4 linked regions of the Caenorhabditis elegans genome follow. The protein of the gene in region 2 binds, or shares a complex with, the protein of the main gene of each other region. Each region holds a gene or a part of one and is shown on either strand. Other genes may lie near its edges. The genes, in order: C46H11.3, arx-5, arx-6 and arx-1.

What was found.
Region 1: arx-5 (region 2) and C46H11.3 share a complex: the UniProt entries of both Caenorhabditis elegans proteins name them as parts of the arp2/3 complex.
Region 3: arx-5 (region 2) and arx-6 share a complex: the UniProt entries of both Caenorhabditis elegans proteins name them as parts of the arp2/3 complex.
Region 4: arx-5 (region 2) and arx-1 share a complex: the UniProt entries of both Caenorhabditis elegans proteins name them as parts of the arp2/3 complex.

Annotation. Positions count from the first base shown.
Region 1 is NC_003279.8:5,039,502-5,042,992, reverse strand, and holds C46H11.3 (putative actin-related protein 2/3 complex subunit 5), read right to left. Parts: upstream 1,624-3,491; 5' UTR 1,502-1,623; coding exon 1,429-1,501; intron 1,350-1,428; coding exon 1,234-1,349; intron 1,190-1,233; coding exon 938-1,189; 3' UTR 901-937; downstream 1-900. Other genes in the region: C46H11.7 (ShKT domain-containing protein), read left to right, coding at 1-16, 66-140, 184-612, 659-798; lfe-2 (Inositol-trisphosphate 3-kinase homolog), read right to left, coding at 2,228-2,323, 3,054-3,404. UniProt on the Caenorhabditis elegans protein: Functions as a component of the Arp2/3 complex which is involved in regulation of actin polymerization and together with an activating nucleation-promoting factor (NPF) mediates the formation of branched actin networks.
Region 2 is NC_003281.10:12,816,215-12,820,429, forward strand, and holds arx-5 (putative actin-related protein 2/3 complex subunit 3), read right to left. Parts: upstream 1,887-4,215; 5' UTR 1,883-1,886; coding exon 1,774-1,882; intron 1,718-1,773; coding exon 1,644-1,717; intron 1,599-1,643; coding exon 1,524-1,598; intron 1,006-1,523; coding exon 712-1,005; 3' UTR 575-711; downstream 1-574. Other genes in the region: BE10.4 (DUF148 domain-containing protein), read left to right, coding at 359-496; Y37D8A.25 (PH domain-containing protein), read right to left, coding at 2,510-2,666, 2,799-2,980, 3,932-4,018; Y37D8A.2 (Putative phospholipase B-like 1), read left to right, coding at 4,044-4,112. UniProt on the Caenorhabditis elegans protein: Functions as a component of the Arp2/3 complex which is involved in regulation of actin polymerization and together with an activating nucleation-promoting factor (NPF) mediates the formation of branched actin networks.
Region 3 is NC_003281.10:4,876,722-4,880,465, reverse strand, and holds arx-6 (putative actin-related protein 2/3 complex subunit 4), read right to left. Parts: upstream 1,809-3,744; 5' UTR 1,804-1,808; coding exon 1,693-1,803; intron 1,553-1,692; coding exon 1,333-1,552; intron 1,288-1,332; coding exon 1,187-1,287; intron 1,142-1,186; coding exon 1,064-1,141; 3' UTR 823-1,063; downstream 1-822. Other genes in the region: C35D10.1 (ER membrane protein complex subunit 7 homolog), read right to left, coding at 159-392, 615-719; Protein tost-1, read left to right, coding at 2,156-2,294, 2,345-2,454, 2,570-2,749. UniProt on the Caenorhabditis elegans protein: Functions as actin-binding component of the Arp2/3 complex which is involved in regulation of actin polymerization and together with an activating nucleation-promoting factor (NPF) mediates the formation of branched actin networks.
Region 4 is NC_003279.8:2,890,356-2,895,436, forward strand, and holds the start of arx-1 (Actin-related protein 3), read right to left. Parts: upstream 3,364-5,081; 5' UTR 3,359-3,363; coding exon 3,256-3,358; intron 3,202-3,255; coding exon 3,059-3,201; intron 2,389-3,058; coding exon 2,278-2,388; intron 1,113-2,277; coding exon 951-1,112; intron 907-950; coding exon of another isoform or gene 91-906; intron 1-90. Other genes in the region: Y71F9AL.6 (Protein PBN1), read left to right, coding at 91-906. UniProt on the Caenorhabditis elegans protein: Functions as ATP-binding component of the Arp2/3 complex which is involved in regulation of actin polymerization and together with an activating nucleation-promoting factor (NPF) mediates the formation of branched actin networks.

The sequences.
Region 1 (3,491 bases), on a different chromosome or scaffold from region 2:
TCTGAATCTGAAGGACGTAAGTAAAGACTGCCATTACTTTTAGAGTTTGAGTTGTTTCATTTCAGCATGTGACGGTGGCATTCTTGTGTGCCAGACACAGGTCTGTGATGTGGCAGCTGGTCAATGTTGTCCTGTAACCAGTAAGTCAACAAGGTTCTTTCAACCGTGACCTATGATTTTTAGCCGTTCCCCTTGTGACTTCAACCACTGCTGCTGTGGTAACAGATTCTGATGGATCTACAGTAACCACAACTGCTTCAGCAGTTACAGTAACCTCAACCTCTACAACTTCGTGTGCTGATCGCCTCAATCCATCTACCGGGGTCTCTGATTGTCCAGCACTTGCCTATCTTTGCAACGACACCACCTACTACACAGTCATGACTCAACAATGTCCAAGAACATGCGGTCGTTGTAACTCAACTACCACAAGCTCCACTAGCTGTGCCGATCTTGTAAACCCATCCACCGGAGTTTCTGATTGTACTGCACGAGCTTCTTTGTGCAATGATTCAGTCTACTATGCCGTCATGACTCAACAATGCCCAAGAACTTGTGGAAGATGTAACTCAAGCTCTACCGTAACTTCATCTTCCTCCACAACAGCTTCAAGTAAGATTAATAATTGTTCATAACGTTCCATGTCTGAACTTTTCAGCCACCTGTGTTGACCAAGTCAACGCAGCTACAGGAGTCTCCGATTGTCCAAACCGTCGTGCATTCTGTACCAATTCTGCCTACGCAACCCTTATGAGAGCTCAATGCCCACTCACTTGCGGATTCTGCACTTCTGGATAATCTTCATTTTTTCTTGAATCATTTTATTTATTTCCTAATATATTTGGTTGTTGTAAATTTGAACTTCTTCATATAAAAAACTTTGGATCTTGGAGTTTTATTGCAGAAATTAACAGATACATGTACCTTCATTAAAAAATTAGAGACGTTGTCGATTGGACAACACTCGAACAATGGATCCCTGCCCAAATTTTGATACCAATTGAGAATGCCACAATAGTAGAGAAAGACACGTGGCAGAATCAGAGCATAGTTGCATTGCTTTGTAAATATACTTCATCAGAATGTCTCCATTTTCATTTGACAGCTTGTGAACTGATTCTTCAATATCGGTCTGTCGAAATGCATGAATAACCTCGGCCACAAGGAGAACAGCACGGTTCTTGAGTTCCTAAAAGGGAAAGAGGTTTGCAAAATGACATTAAAAAATAAAACCTGTTCAGAATGACCAAATGGTGGGTTTAAGAGAACGGATTGAAGAGCATATTCAAGTCGATTTGACTCCAGAAATTGCCGAACCTCTTGCACATTTGGCCCACAATCTGCAGATTCTGAAAAAATTTTCAAAAATTATTTATTGAAATATTATTATTTATTCAAAAATTAATTATTGAATTCAGATTGACTAACCTTCCTGAATATCTTCAAAATGAGCTGGATGAAAAATATCAACATTGTACTTTTTATAGTCAGTGTTGTACATTATCTACAATAGAAAAACATTTCTGAATGAAAACCTAAAAAATGATATAAGAAAGCTTTTTTGAAGTCTCTTTGAAATTTTGAATAAGAGCACCAATTGTCCACTCTTTTGTGAAATTCGAAAACGTTTGTTCTGCTGCATACCAAATTTCATAGATTCTTGTTTCTGAACAATTTTCTTTTAATCCCCAAATAATTGCCATAAGTTTTTTGTTTTGCCTAGTACTTTTCACTAGGCAATCGGCCGATATGCACTGGGAACAATTGCACCTGCTCTAGCTTTTAAAGCAAAGACTTCAATAGATTGTTGTTTGGATCTAAATTGCAACTGGACATTTCAAAAATTTCTCTTCATTTGAGAATAAAAATATACAAATTGTACCCAATCAATTAATCCATTACTCGGATCGTACACAATGGAACAAAAAAAACAACTGAAAGTAAGAAGAAAGTCTAGGGATTATGCCATGGTAAAGGAAAAGAGAAGGGGAAAGCGATAGATTAAAAAGTGAAAATCTATTTTCTTTTTCAAAAAATCTATTTTCTTTTTCAAAAAACCAACAAAAACAAGGACTGGCTGGAGGGGGTGTAAAATTGAATAATAGCAAATTGTACACGGATGAGGATTTTGTGGAGGAGCGGTGGGGAATCACAGAAATTATTATGGCGGAATATGAAGAGACACACACTTTCATCTATCTACAGTAATCCAAGGAGGTAGAAGCTTCTACGATTTCGTATTTTTCATTCTGGCAATCACTTCCTCTGTGACCATTAACTGGTCATCAGGATGTTCTCCGTACTCGGGGAGTTCTTCGAGAATCTGAAAATATTTGAATTATAATTCAACTACTTGGTAACATTTAAAATTTATGAGAAGAAAAATAAATATAGTGTCAAGAATTTGAAAATATATAAATTGATTTTCCGCACCTCTTATCTATATTAGTTACCGAATATTCTCTAATAGTATTAAATCCCACTACTTTATTTTTGCTTTAAAAAATTTTAAAACAATATGAAACACTTTCCAATATTTTTTCCAATTTATTCAAAAATGTTACGGTTTTTATGTCCCCATATCAGTTCTGTGAATTTATTGATCTCAACATCCCCCGGTTATAACTACACTTTTACCTCCATTCTCGTTTTTCTCCCCGTTTCACCTGTTCCCTATTATCTTTTCTTTCTTTTTTTATGTAACTTTTACTCGAGTTGAACTCTTTTAGGGTTCGTCTCGTTTTATTTGTTTATTTCTCTTCTTTTAGTTAAATAAACTCAAATTCAAAAGAAAAATAAATATAGTGTCAAGAATTTGAAAATATATAAATTGATTTTCCGCACCTCTTATCTATATTAGTTACCGAATATTCTCTAATAGTATTAAATCCCACTACTTTATTTTTGCTTTAAAAAATTTTAAAACAATATGAAACACTTTCCAATATTTTTCCGTTAACAATTTTTGTATAGGACAAAAGGCAACTGAGTTTAATAGTAAGGTGCTACATTAATAATATTTAAATAAAAAATTCTAAGAAAACCAAGCTTACCTTGACTAAATTATCGATTCCTATCAAATACCCATCTTCATTATTCCCAGGTATCCACGTCGTCCGATGGTTTAGTGTTCGTCCATTAGGAACCGGTGAACTCTTTGCAAAGTCAATCATCCAGCATCCCACTTTTTCCGTATCAAAAACAATCAGAATACTGCTTCCGACGACTTCATGTGAATTGAAGAATGATGAATGTTCGATGGCTTTTCGCATTGATTTCAGTCGTTCAATTAATTGTTGTCTTACACGGCTTCTTTGAGTTCCAAAGAAGTCCATAAATGTAGTTGTGACATCTTCAACTGTTCGTACTTTTTTGAAGTTTTTCTCCAATGCGCCTTCGAGCCTCTGGAAATAAATGCGATGTTGAAGAGTTTAGGGTTTGAAGAAAACTTGTTATGTTAACATTTAGAATTCTAAATATACCCATGAATT
Region 2 (4,215 bases):
TTTCTTTTTTATTTTTTTGTTAAAAACTGTTTAAATCAATTTTTATTCATTCTCTGACTGGAAAACGGCAAAAAAACTGATTTAAAACAATTTTTAACAGGAAAAAAGAAAAAAAAGTACCATAAACTTTTTTGCGCGCCGAGACCCATCTGAACAAATCTGTGCGCCTTTAAGACGGAAATCTTGGAAAATTACGGGAAATTAATAGTTTTTTTCCCGATTTTATTTGAAAAAACCTGAAAATTTTTCGATTTTCTAATAAAAAAGGCCTATATTTGGGGTTTTCTGAAAAAAATTCGACTATTTTCCAATTTTCTCGGAGAAAATCTTAAAATTTTCAATTTTTCTCAATTTCCAGGCTCTTCCAGTCTCCCAACTTCCCGAAGAGGTTCGAAGTCACTTGGCACGTTGCCAGATAACTGCTCCAGAAGTCGTACACGATACCGTGGCGTTTTTGTTGTCAGTGATGGGATCCAAGCAGACAAATTATCGGTAGAGCATAGAGATTTCGCGTATTTCGCGCACAACATATTTGACGCGCGCAAAATATGTTGCGTTACCGTAATAAAATGATGAAATCGGAATTTTAATGAATATTTTAAAGCAGCACAAAAAGTAAAACTGGACGCAATATAAATATAATTACATGGAAAAAAAAATGGGAAAAGTGAAAAAATTTTGAGCCAGATACAACAATAATTAATCGATAATTCACAAATTAACACCCTGTCCAACGAGCCCCTTGTCCATGAATCGTCTTCTCGCGAAACAGAGCCACCACTTGCTCGGACGATCTTGGGGATCCGGGAACGCGAGATCACACAGACGGGCGCCGATTTCTTGGCGAATTTGTTGCAAATAGGCACGCATTTCGTCCTCGTCCGGTTTCGATTGGGGCGCCTTGTACATGCTGTTCAGTGGGAATCCATTTTCACCGGGAATTGGAAGCAAATGACTGAGAGCCAAGGCGTGAAGATCCTTTTGGCCGGCTATCTTGTTTGGGCTCTGAAAATTTGAAAAAATTTGCAAAAAAAAAACATGTTTTTACGCTTTATTTCACTCAAAATAGCCCGAAAAGACCGAATTTTGTAACTAGAATTTTTTTTTATAATTTCCAAAATTTTGAGAAAAAAAAAAGTTGGATTTCTCCGAAGAAAATCGGAAAAATTTCGGATTTTTTCAGTGAAAATCGAAAAATTTTCGGATTTTTTCAGGGAAAACCAGAAAAATTTTGGAATTTTCAGGGAATATTAAACAATTTTTAGATTTTTTTCAGGGAAAAACCAAAAAAATTCGATTTTTTCAGAGAAAACCTTAAAATTTGTGGATTTTTCAGAGAAAATTGAAAGAATTTGGGATTTTTTCAGAGAAAATCGAAAATGTTTCGAATTTGAAATTTTCTACTTAAAAAAATCTGTTTTCGGTAGGAATGTTCAAAATATCCATTGAAATTCGGTATGTTTGGGTCTTTTTTTCTTATTTTTCAATCTAAAAAGTAGGTTTTTTTCGTGCAAAATCCGTACTTTTTGCAATTTTCTGAGGCACTCGGTGATGTAGAAGATGAGATAGATCATTGTACGGTCCGCGGGACCTTTGATCTGAAAATTTCTCAATTTTAATAGGGAAAAATCTCGAAAATCAACCTCAAATTCGCGGAAAAAGATGTTCGGCTTGAAGTAGGTGAGCGCTTCGTCGATGATGTCATCCTGATTGGTTTCTGCAATAATTTTAATATATAATATAGGTTTTTTCAATCAATTTTTGAAGACTTACGAGGCGCTGGACCCTTGAAATTGGTTCGAATCGGAAGTTTTCCCATATTTGTGTTGCCCAATGGCAAAACTTTGAGTTCAGTGTCGAATTTTGAGTGGTATGCCGGCATTTCACTGAAAAATAAGTGTTTTGTTTGGAAAAATGCATAGAAAACGGCTTATTTTCGGATACCCGAGGGGGGGGGGGGGTAAGTACATAATGAGTCACTGCGGCTGCGAAAAAAAATCGATAAATTGTGAAATTCGAGTTTTAAATTAAAATATAAGTATTTTATTCGATAAAAATGCAGTTTTTGAAGCGATAATGTCGTTGCGGACGCGAAAATTAAAGTAAAACCCGAAAATACACTTTTATTCGGAAATTCGTGTTAAAATATATGAAAACTTGGAATTAATATGATTAATATCAGCTTACAAGTTTCCTATAATCAGATATTTAAGAAAAATTGGAAAAAATCAAAGATTTTCTGCTTTTTAAACGTTTTTTCTGATGAAATTCTCTCCAGGAACGGAAAAATAAATAATAATCTCGTGTAAGTTTACGGTAAACAAGGCGCGACATCGGAATATCGGAGCATCGTTTGGAAATTTTTAATGAAATTTCGCGATTTTTTGCGAAAAAAACGATAAATTCAGGGAAATTCCAGCTGCAAAACAAAGCAAAAAACGTTAAAAATGTATGATTTATAATCAATAAGTCAAAATATCACAGTGAAAATGTGCAAAATGTATAAAAATCAATCCCTCATCGCTTTCTTCTGAGTTTGCTCGATTTGCTCATGAAAACTTTGTTTCGAGAGCTGTATATAGTCGATCGGGGAGATTGTGAGCAGCGAAACCCAACGTCCCAGCGATTTGAACGAGTCGGCGGCGAAGATGAAGCTTCGAGCAGTTCTGGAAAAAAATCGGATAATTTTAGGAATTTTCAATCGATTTTTCATCGATTTTCGATAAAACCGATAAAAATTCAGTTTTTTTTTGGAATTTAGTATTAATTTTTCGTGTTGAGACCCGGAAAAAACGCACGATTTGAATTTGATTTCAAAAGTGAAATCCTTGCCAATCTTATTCTCATCACATAATTCGATAAAACAGTCTTCAATAATTAGTAGTAAAAATGGAGGAGCCGACGTCTCCTCTTCGGTTTTATTGTACACGAAAAGCATATTGGCCTTGAGAACACCCCAGCCGGCACGCCATTGGAAATCCTGAAAAAAACTTTTTTTTTTAATAAAAAAATCATTTTTTTGATTTTTTAAATTTTCAAATTACTCCAAATTTCCCATATTTTGTTTTAAAAAAATTCAAAAAATTTCAAAAATCTTATATTTCAGCTTGAAAGCGCGAAACAATTTTCAAACTCGCGCCAGAAAAATTCTCATTGGAGCGCGCCATGCCATGTCGATTTACGAGGGGTTTTTTTGCAGCCAAATTCGGTTTTTTAAACCAGTTTTCTTCATTTTCTTCGGTTTTTTTAAATTAAAATGTGTTTTTTCGTGTAAATTTGGGTATTTTATTATTTTAAAAATTGAAAAATCAGTAAGTTTCGTTCACTTTACACGAAATAAATTATATTTCAAAAAAAAAAAATCAAAGAAACTAAAATTTGCAAGTTTCTTTGATTTTTTTGTTGAAAAATTTTTTTTTTCAAATTTTAAAAATCATAAAATTATTTCACATTTTCACTTAAAAAAACGCGAAAAATATAGAAAACTTGTTGAAAAACTGAAATTTGCAAACAAAATCTCTCGTAAATCGACGCGACATGGCGCGCTCCAATGATAATGGCCCTGGCGGATTTTAAGCTGAAATATGATAAAAAATTTCATTTTTTTATTTTTTGGAACTTTTTTGCAATTCCACTTTTATTACGGAACGACTAAATTCTGAAAATGCGTACCACGCAACATATTTGACGCGCAAAATATCTAGATACAGTAAAAAATATTTTGCGCGTCAAATATGTTGTGCAGTGCGCATTTTCGGAATTTTGGGTTCCTGTAATAATACAAGACGATCAAACTCTAAAGCACCTAACAATTGGTTTGATCTCCACGAAAACGCGAAAATATTTATCTTTTTCACGAGGTCAAAGGGTCACGGAGCACCTGACATGTCTGTGGTGCCATGCCCCGTCTCCCGAACAACTGCTTCAGTACCTGCTGCAACTGCAAAGGTCCCGAAAATCTTCTCTCAAACGTCGGATCCGAACCCAGCCGGAATAGTGAATTTGCGTTGGCGAGCATATCGTGTGTGTGGTGCTGCTGGAGAATGAATTGGATTTTTATATTTTTGGCTGCTGCGGTGGCGATTGGTTGTGAGGCGAGACAGGAGAGAACGGTAAGAATTAAAGAAATTTTTTTAGGTGGAGTAGCGCCAGTGGGGGGAAATTGCTTTAAAACACGCCTATGGGGTCACAATAACCGAATATCATGATAAAAAA
Region 3 (3,744 bases), 7.9 Mb from region 2:
TGCAAAAAAAACTACGACGCAGTCATGATAAACAGAGGATTAAAAAAAAATTTTTTCATCACACGTTCGGAGGAGCTACGTCCGATTTTAACCGTTTTCTCCCGGTAGTTAATAATTTACGATCGAAATTGTTTGATTTGTTCCGAAATTCAATATACCTGAAGAATTGTCAATTTTCTAGCTCTCATCTTTCCTTTTGATGTGATATCAACGCGAATTGGCTCAAAGACAAAATCTGTATTTTCGATTTGAACAATATAGGTTCCAGTAGGCACGAAATCAACACGGAATGTACAATCTTGACGAACAAATCCCATATATTGGCCATGGTTCAAATGAATACGAGCACCTGCGGACCATTTTGCACAATTTCGAGTAGATGGAAGTGCGATCTGAAATTTTTTTTTTGAGGACTATGAAATATTTAATTTACAACGAATTTGTTGTTATTAGAATAGGAACCTAGAAGATAAAATTTTAAAAAATGTGAGAACTGGAAAAAGTATTCAGAAGCATATAAACGTTGTCTTAATTTATAATATGACTTCTCTATGAATATAGCCAAAATGATCGATATTTTTAATCCAAAAATCAAACATTTTTGGTATACGAACCTCGCCTTCGACGGAGAATAATGTCGATGTTTGCTCAGTTCTGCTCACTTCTTCTGTTGCACTGCCGAGCACTATCAGGGAGAATAAAAGTAGAATAGACTTCATTTCTGAAATTGATTTGTCAATTTCCAACTTAATAATCATTTTAAAATATTAAAGCTCGTAAATGTTTCACGAGATATTTCAGATCATACATATTGCAAAAATTGAATAAATAATTCATAAAGTCAGTGTGCGGTAAAAAAAATCGATAATCAAAAAGGCAAAATAGGACCTAAAACAGGAAATTTTTGGGAGGGGAGTCATTTTCAGAAACAAAAAGTGAAAAAATTGAGAATAAAGATGATATTTACACAAATTGATCAAAAAACCGTGTTCACATAATAGTTTAAAGTCTTCGGAATTTGAGTGAAAATGAGAAAAATGAATTGGGAATCATGGGGAGAAAATTAATTGAAACGCTTCAAAAATTCTTCAGCAGAAACACGGGCACGGGCGTTGAGAGACAGCTTCATCTCGGAAATTTCCTGGAAATTTATGGAATTTTTTAAAAATTAACTTAAAATGTTCACCTTATCAATTTCCTGCATAAAATGAAGCAAAAAGTCGACAAGTTTGTGCTTGAACATTGCTTCTGTGTGAGATGCTGTGATGAGGAACGAGATGTCATAACCTAAAATTATCGCTTTAATCTCTGAATATTAGTATTAATTCTGACCTGGCAGTGGCTTGCGACGGAGCACAAAGAAGTTATCGGCTCTTTGGCACATGAATCGAGTGAACTTGTGGCACAGAATCTTCTCGATTTCGTCGGATTGTTTGATGGCGATTGATATTCTGACAGAATTGACGGAGGGTTCGATGAGTACTCGTTCCTGTTTGTTTCGAGCAACAACAACTGGCGTCATGAGCAGTTCTTTCGATGTTTGAACTTCCACCTACAATTTTATTATAATATACAAATAGAATAATACATTTAAATAGTTTTTGAGCGAAAAACTATTGCAATTGGCGGCGGACTGATTTAAATTATTCAATCTTCACACTTTGCAAGTCATTTTACTGTTATAAATCTTACTTCTGGTTTGTTGTGTCTCTCGACCACCTGCGAACTGAATTGCTCAAGACAGAGAGCTGCCTGGAGCGTGTGACGCACGGCCTCCAGATATGGTTGGAGTGTTGCGCTCATTACCTGCAATGCGCATGCTTATTGATTTTTTTATTGACGAAACAGTTTGAGACATTATTTAGAAGTGAAAAAAGATTGCATGGAACAAAATAAAACATGAAATACCGGCGAAAATCGTAAAATTGGAGTCGATAATCCGAAAATGAATCATTATTTGCGTCGTTTTGAAAGTAATGCAAACACGCTCCGCTGCACTTTTTGTTTCGAGTAGCGCGCGAAGACAAATTTATCATCCATTCTTTTAAAAATTGTCAATTTTAAAATTAATTTTCTGATTTTCAATCATTCCACTTTCCCATTTTGCAAAATATTTTGCGTTTTCAGTAAAATTTAAAAATTTAAACCTTTCAGAATGACTACTGCCATCCAATATCAAGTTATTCCTTTAGCTGACCGTGAGCACAGCAACAAAGTGGCGTCGATTCTGGAAAACAAGTACAAAACTGCGACAAATAAACGAATCACATTGAATGAGCGCTTCGGAGTTCTCGGTAAATGTTTTCAAGCATTTTTGAATCATAATAACATAGTTGTCTTCCAGAAAAGGGGTACACTATTCAAGCCACTGAGCCAGAGACTGTCAAAAACGATTCTGATGTCTTCTTTGTCGTTCACGACCGGAACTTGAATTCGAAAAAGGAATTTGTGGAGGTAATTATTTAGACTATTCGAACTTTTAATCAAAGCACTGATATTAACACAACTCTTAATGTTTTCCTTAAAAAATGAAACTTTGAGATTTTATGAGAACCTGGTTATGTTTCAGAACTATCTCGCAAAAAATCCAATTGTCAATTCACCGGAGAAAGTTTTCGAAGAGGAGGACAAGGAGAATGCACCGACCAAGAAAGCTGTTTTGAAGCCGTCCTCTACTGATGAGAAGAAGCTCACCAGCTCGGATATCTACATTCAAGAAATCACCAGAAGCATTCTTCAATCCGTTTAATTTTTCCATAAATTGCAAAATTCATTTTCCAAAATTTATGTATTTTTCTCACAATTTTTGAGCAGCCCTTTTCTTCTTTAAGTGTTATAATTTCCCTCGTTTTCCCACACCCATGAACTTCAGTGCAAATTTTCATAATCTTATCCTACGATTTTCTGTGGTATTCCTTCGATAAGTAAATCGTTCAAAGTAAGTGCTTGTTTGATTTTCGTTTGAGCACGCAATAATTTCAAGATTGGCATAAAAAATAACTGAAATGGGAGCAGAAGTAATGGGAGAACGCTATGCTTCAATGCGGGATTTATTGCGCATTTGGTATTGAAACGAAAAGAGTAACATTTAAGTTCAAAGGACAGAGCATATGTGTGTAGGGGTCTCGCCGCGAGAAAAACATATTAAAAATAATCTTCTGTTAACGTAAGAAGACATTTAAACCAAGTATCTTTAATAAATACGATTCCCGCGGCGAGACCCTTTTGTATAAGCGCGTCTCCCTTGAAACTTGTAGAATTTTGCCAAAAATGCACAATAAGTGAATTTTCCAGTGGAATAGTGTCGGAATACAAAAGTGTTGAAAATCCTGATATGTAAACTACTACTACCGGAGCCGAAGCCGCGAGGAAGTCTACCTGAAAGTGAGAAAGAATCTAAAGATCCTCAGTCAATCCCCGAATGAATAATAACCGATCAAAAGAGCATGTGCTACGATCTGAACATCAGATAAAATTTGAAATTTCCTAGGGAAAAGACTGTTCTGAAATATGTGCATTTTAAGCATTCAACCTCTCAATTGGTAAATCGACTGAGTAGCGACTTACAACATGGTGGTGTGATACGGAGGTGCATAAAACACTTGGGAATAGGCTACGGAGAAGCCGAAATTTTTGAGCTGTATGAATTAAAATATTTAGATATGGAAGAATTAAAAAAAATATCAGAATTAGGCAGTTTTTGAGGTAGAAAATTCCATAAACAAATTTACTTTACGAATTTCT
Region 4 (5,081 bases), on a different chromosome or scaffold from region 2:
CCATATAGCAAATATTCCTATTATAAATACGTTATACATTATTTTTGGCGTTTTTCTTGCGGGTTACGCAATTGCTAGCAGAGACGACAGATGGCACACAGGCAACATTATCGATCATTATCGACCGTAGATATCATATATATCAAATCTACCATATATTATATATATCATATATATATACCATATACCATTTATACCATACACCAGATATATCATATATATTATATATACCATATATACACATATACCAAATCTCCCATATATCATATACATCATATATACCAAATCTACCATATTCATATAATAAATACGTTATACATTATTTTTGGCGTTTTTCTTGCGTGTTATGCAATTGCTAGCAGAGACGGCAGATGGTACACAGGTACCTCGAAAACATTATCGATCGTCGTCGGTACACCAGAATCCACGTCATCTCTCCCTGTCCCTCTCAGTCTCCCACACTCTCTACTCGACATGGCAATTTCTGCGTACATCCCGAAAATCGACGAAGAAGCACTCAGAACCGCTTTCCACGCTGAAGCCGAAGATCATGAGCAGCTAGAAAATGCGAACCGCCGACAAGCCGAAAAGGAGAGATTCCGCCAAATTTGGCATCTATTTCTGACGCATTTGGAGCAAGATCCACGGAAAACTGGAAGTTTCTGGCTGCAAGAGCTGCCTGTGTTGCTCCGCGAGGTTTCGAGTTTCGATGAGGATATTTTGGGATTCGGAGCGCTTGATGGTGAGGAGCAATTCGATTTTTTTGCAGTTGCAGGAGAAGCCGAAGTAGACGGGAACAAGTATCCATCATTGTCGGGAATGTGTAAATTGTCGTTTTTCATTATATTTTTCATGTTTTTGCTGGTATTAATTTGCATTTTTGGCTATTTAATAAGTGACAAATAAAATAATAAAAATTTTTTTTTCTCAAAAGCGAAAAAATTTCCTACCAATCCAGTCAAGCTTCGCTCGTTGGCTTCTCTGGAATTCCAGCTGGCAGTCAACGCTAGGACGGCCTGAACGGCTATGTACAAGCCTGGCACGTTGAACGACTCGAACATAATTTCAGCAGTATATTCTCGGTTTTCCGGAGTGTTGAGTGGTGGTTCCGTCTGGAAATTTTCAAATTTTTTCGTGGAAAACTGCCTAATATTCGCTATTTAAAGGTGGTGTAGTCGATTTTTAAAAAAAAAATTGCTTTATTAGACTCAAAAATTGTCTGAAAACACCGAATTTCATAATGAATTGAAAACTTCTCAAAAAAAAAGTTATGGCGGCTCCAAAAAAATGGCCTAAAACAGTTAAAATTTGAAATTTGGCCTTTTGAAATTACCGTCAAATTTTAGATATATAAGTTGATTATTGTGCGTTTTCAACTCGATTTAGGTATTTTAAAGCCGGTGGACTTGGAGATTTTTAAATTTTTATTACCAAATCTCCAAGTCCACCGACTTTAAAATACCTAAATCGAGTTGAAAACGCACGATAATAAACTTATATATCTAAAATTTGACGGTAATTTCAAAAGGCCAAATTTCAAATTTTAACTAATTTTAGCCGATTTTTTGAACCGTCATAACTGTTTTTTTTCAAGAAGTTTCATTATGAAATTCGGTGTTTTTAGACAATTTTGATTCTAATAAAGCAAAAAAAAAATTCGACTACACCAACTTTAAGCCTGAAAGTTGAAGCTCAGGTAGATCGTGGCGGGACCCTTACTTTAAAAAAAATTAGAAACAAAATTTTGTAAATTTCCAGAAAAAAAAAACGATTTTTTAAATAGAAAATTAAAGCCATATCTTCAAAAAAACAGCTTTTCCTATAAAATTAGGATTTTAATACGAAAAAAAATTTTTTTTGCTATTTTTTTGAAAAAATGTAGATTTTTCATTTAATTAATTTTAATTAATAAAGCTTAAAAATACCGGAGTTTTCGGGGGAAATTCCTTGATTTTTCTCCCGTTTTTTTCAAAATTTTTACGTATTTTTTAAATTGGTATCACATGCTTTATTTCCAAAAAAATTGTCCTGTCAAGACCGGATACCGTAATTTTAGAGTCAAAAATTGCAAAATTTCGTGATTTTTAAGCTTTTTTCATCGAAATTTATCACTTTTCACGTGTTTTTTCTGTAATATATAGCTTTTCACCGATTTACATCCATTTTACAGGATATTTTCTATTAAAAAAACGGATTTTCGACCCCCTTTTCTTTTAAAAGTGGCCAAAATATTGTTCCAGAGCATTTTTTCCCGAATTTTCTGCTTCTCTCCCGTACCAAAAGGAAGAAATGATCCTCTGGCTCGGCTCTCAAGTATTTGAAAATGCACTGCTCCCAGTATCGTTCCATAAGATCCCAGTCTTCGACGATTCCATGCCGAATTGGATACTAAAAAATTTAATTTTAATTTTAAACATTTTTTCCATATGCTCCTGATACCTAATATCAATGTGAAAAATTCAAAAAATAAAATTCCCGATTTTATAAAAAATTATATTTTTTTTAATCCAAAAGTCCAAAATGTTAAATTCAGAAACGACAAATTTTGCATGATAACCGTGCCGCATGTGTGGATTTACGAGACTAATATTTTTCATTCATTTTTATTTAATTTTCACACCGATTTTCCCGATTTTTCCTTGTTTTACATTAAAATTATCATGATTTCCATTAATTTATGACTTTTTATTAATGAAAACAACAAAAATACGTGAAATATTCGATTTTTTCAGCAAAAGTTCGATATTTCTTGTAATTTAATTTGTTTTCATTAATAAAAAGTAAATTTATGAATAAATTTATGAAAATCCCAAGAATTTCAATGTATAACAACGAAAAAACGGGAAAATCGGTGTGAAAATTAAATAAAAATGAATTAAAAATATTAATCTCGTAAATCCACACCTGCGGCACGGTTATCATGCAAAATTTTGTCGTTTAAATTTAAAATTAGGATTTTTGGATTTTAAAAAATTATATAAAATCTGGGAATTAAAAAAAAAAATTTCACATTGATATTTGACATCAGGAGCATAAATATGGTCTATTAACTACGAACTTTGACAGTATAATTCGTAGCGGCCGGCGACAAAGCTTCATCTCCAATAAAGAAATCAAGATCGTCTATCCCGGCTCCGACTCGGTTATTCCAGCGCATCGCCTGCGAATTCGAGCTCGCCACCTTGTCCTTCACGGCAATTGCTGGAAAATTCACTGGATTTTATGAAAAATAGGCTGAAAATCAATAAATCTAACCAGATGGAATAATAAACTGAGGTTCCGTGTTCCCAGCATATCCGAGCTTCGTATAACCCGTTCCATTGTCGATCACACATGCCGGTAGTTGATGGGCCGACATGCTTGCTGCAAAAAATTTGGGATTTTTTTTGTTTTAAATGGGAGAAAAAGACGGAATTTCAGTCTAGCGGTTTAGAAATTCGAAAAAATGGGCTAATTTCCGCTGAAATCTCCAATCTTGGAGCGTTTTTAAGCCGGAAATTGATAATTTTGCAAATAAATTAATTTTGTTCCTTTTTTGGCTTCAAATATACCTAAATTAACGCAATTTTCAACCGCTGTGACACAAAAAATTGGCAAAAATGGAGTTTTTCGCTGAAATGTTTAACAAAAATTTAGCTAAATAATTTTATGACGATTTAAAATTTCAAAAAAAAAAAAGATTTAGCAAAAATCGTAAAATTTTGCCATTTTTGGTTTTTTAAAACATATTTTTTCGTCGATTTAGCTACTTATTAAGCCAGTATTTTAGCAATACGTAACTATCGGCTAAAAGTACCTAAATCCACGAAAAAAAAAGGATAAAATCACTCAAATGTGTCAAAAATCAAATAAAAATCAATTTCCGACGGCTGTGACACGAAAAAATTGCAAAATTGGGGATTTTCGTTAAAAATAGCCCATTTTTTCGAAATTTTGAAGTTCAAAAATGCGAAAAAAAAAACTCAGTTTTGGCTTGGATAATCGGGTTTATTTGATTATTGTTCTATTTTCCATATTTAAGTGATTTTTCTCGCGTTTTTTCGCTGATTTTGGCAATTTTTAAGCCGTTATACATAACTATCGGGTTAAAATATCCAAATCCACTAAAAAACAGGATAAAAATTATTTAAATATGCCAATATCAAATAAAAATCATTTTCCAACGGCTTTTTGGAGTTTTCCGTTAAAATTAGAAAATTTTTCCGCATTTTTTTACCGCCATAAATTTTTCTGTCATATTACGATATGAAATTCGGTATTTTCAAGTCACCTAGAGGATCAGAATCCAAAAAATCGTGAAAAAATAACGTAAAACTGCCGAACTGCACTAGTTAAACAATCGGCGAGTGCGGTGACTCATCCAAAGAATAAACAGAAAATCGATATTTTTACGATTGAAATTCACAGGAAATTCTTGTAGGGGGAAAAGAAGAAGAACAATTGTTTTAATCCTTTGCTGAGAAACTGAGAAACTGGGGGTGGGGGATCAAAAATTAATACCTTAATTGTTCAGTTTATTCGTGATTTTTGGATTTTTCGGGTCTTTTCCACGTCAAAAATGATTCTAAAATTCAGATTTTATTATATATATTATTTTAAATCAATAAATTCCGATAAAACAATCAGTTTTCAAGGAAATATGTGGACAGACATCATTGGACCACTTAGAAATTGCGAAATTCACTGAAAATTATTGATTAATTCGAAATAACTGAATAATTAGGTATATGTTAACTGAATTCCATGGAAATTTGCAAGAAAAATGAGCCAAAACGCGATAAAATCCTGGCTTTTGCCTTTTTCCGGTGCCAAAATGGTTTGTGTGCATTTTGTCGTAGTCCGCAATACCAAAACCCTAGACTTTACGACAATTTTCTTACTGTATTTTTTTTGAATTTTTTCGAGCAAATTTCTCCATGTAAATTACTGATTTAGAGAACATTTTCTTACCCCAAAGATAAATGAAAAAAAGTAAAAAAATCATGATTTATTCAAATAAAATAGACCAGCATGCAATCATAATCTTTCTGTGGGGTTTAAATAATTTTTAAAAACACATAATTTAAATAGAAAACATGAAC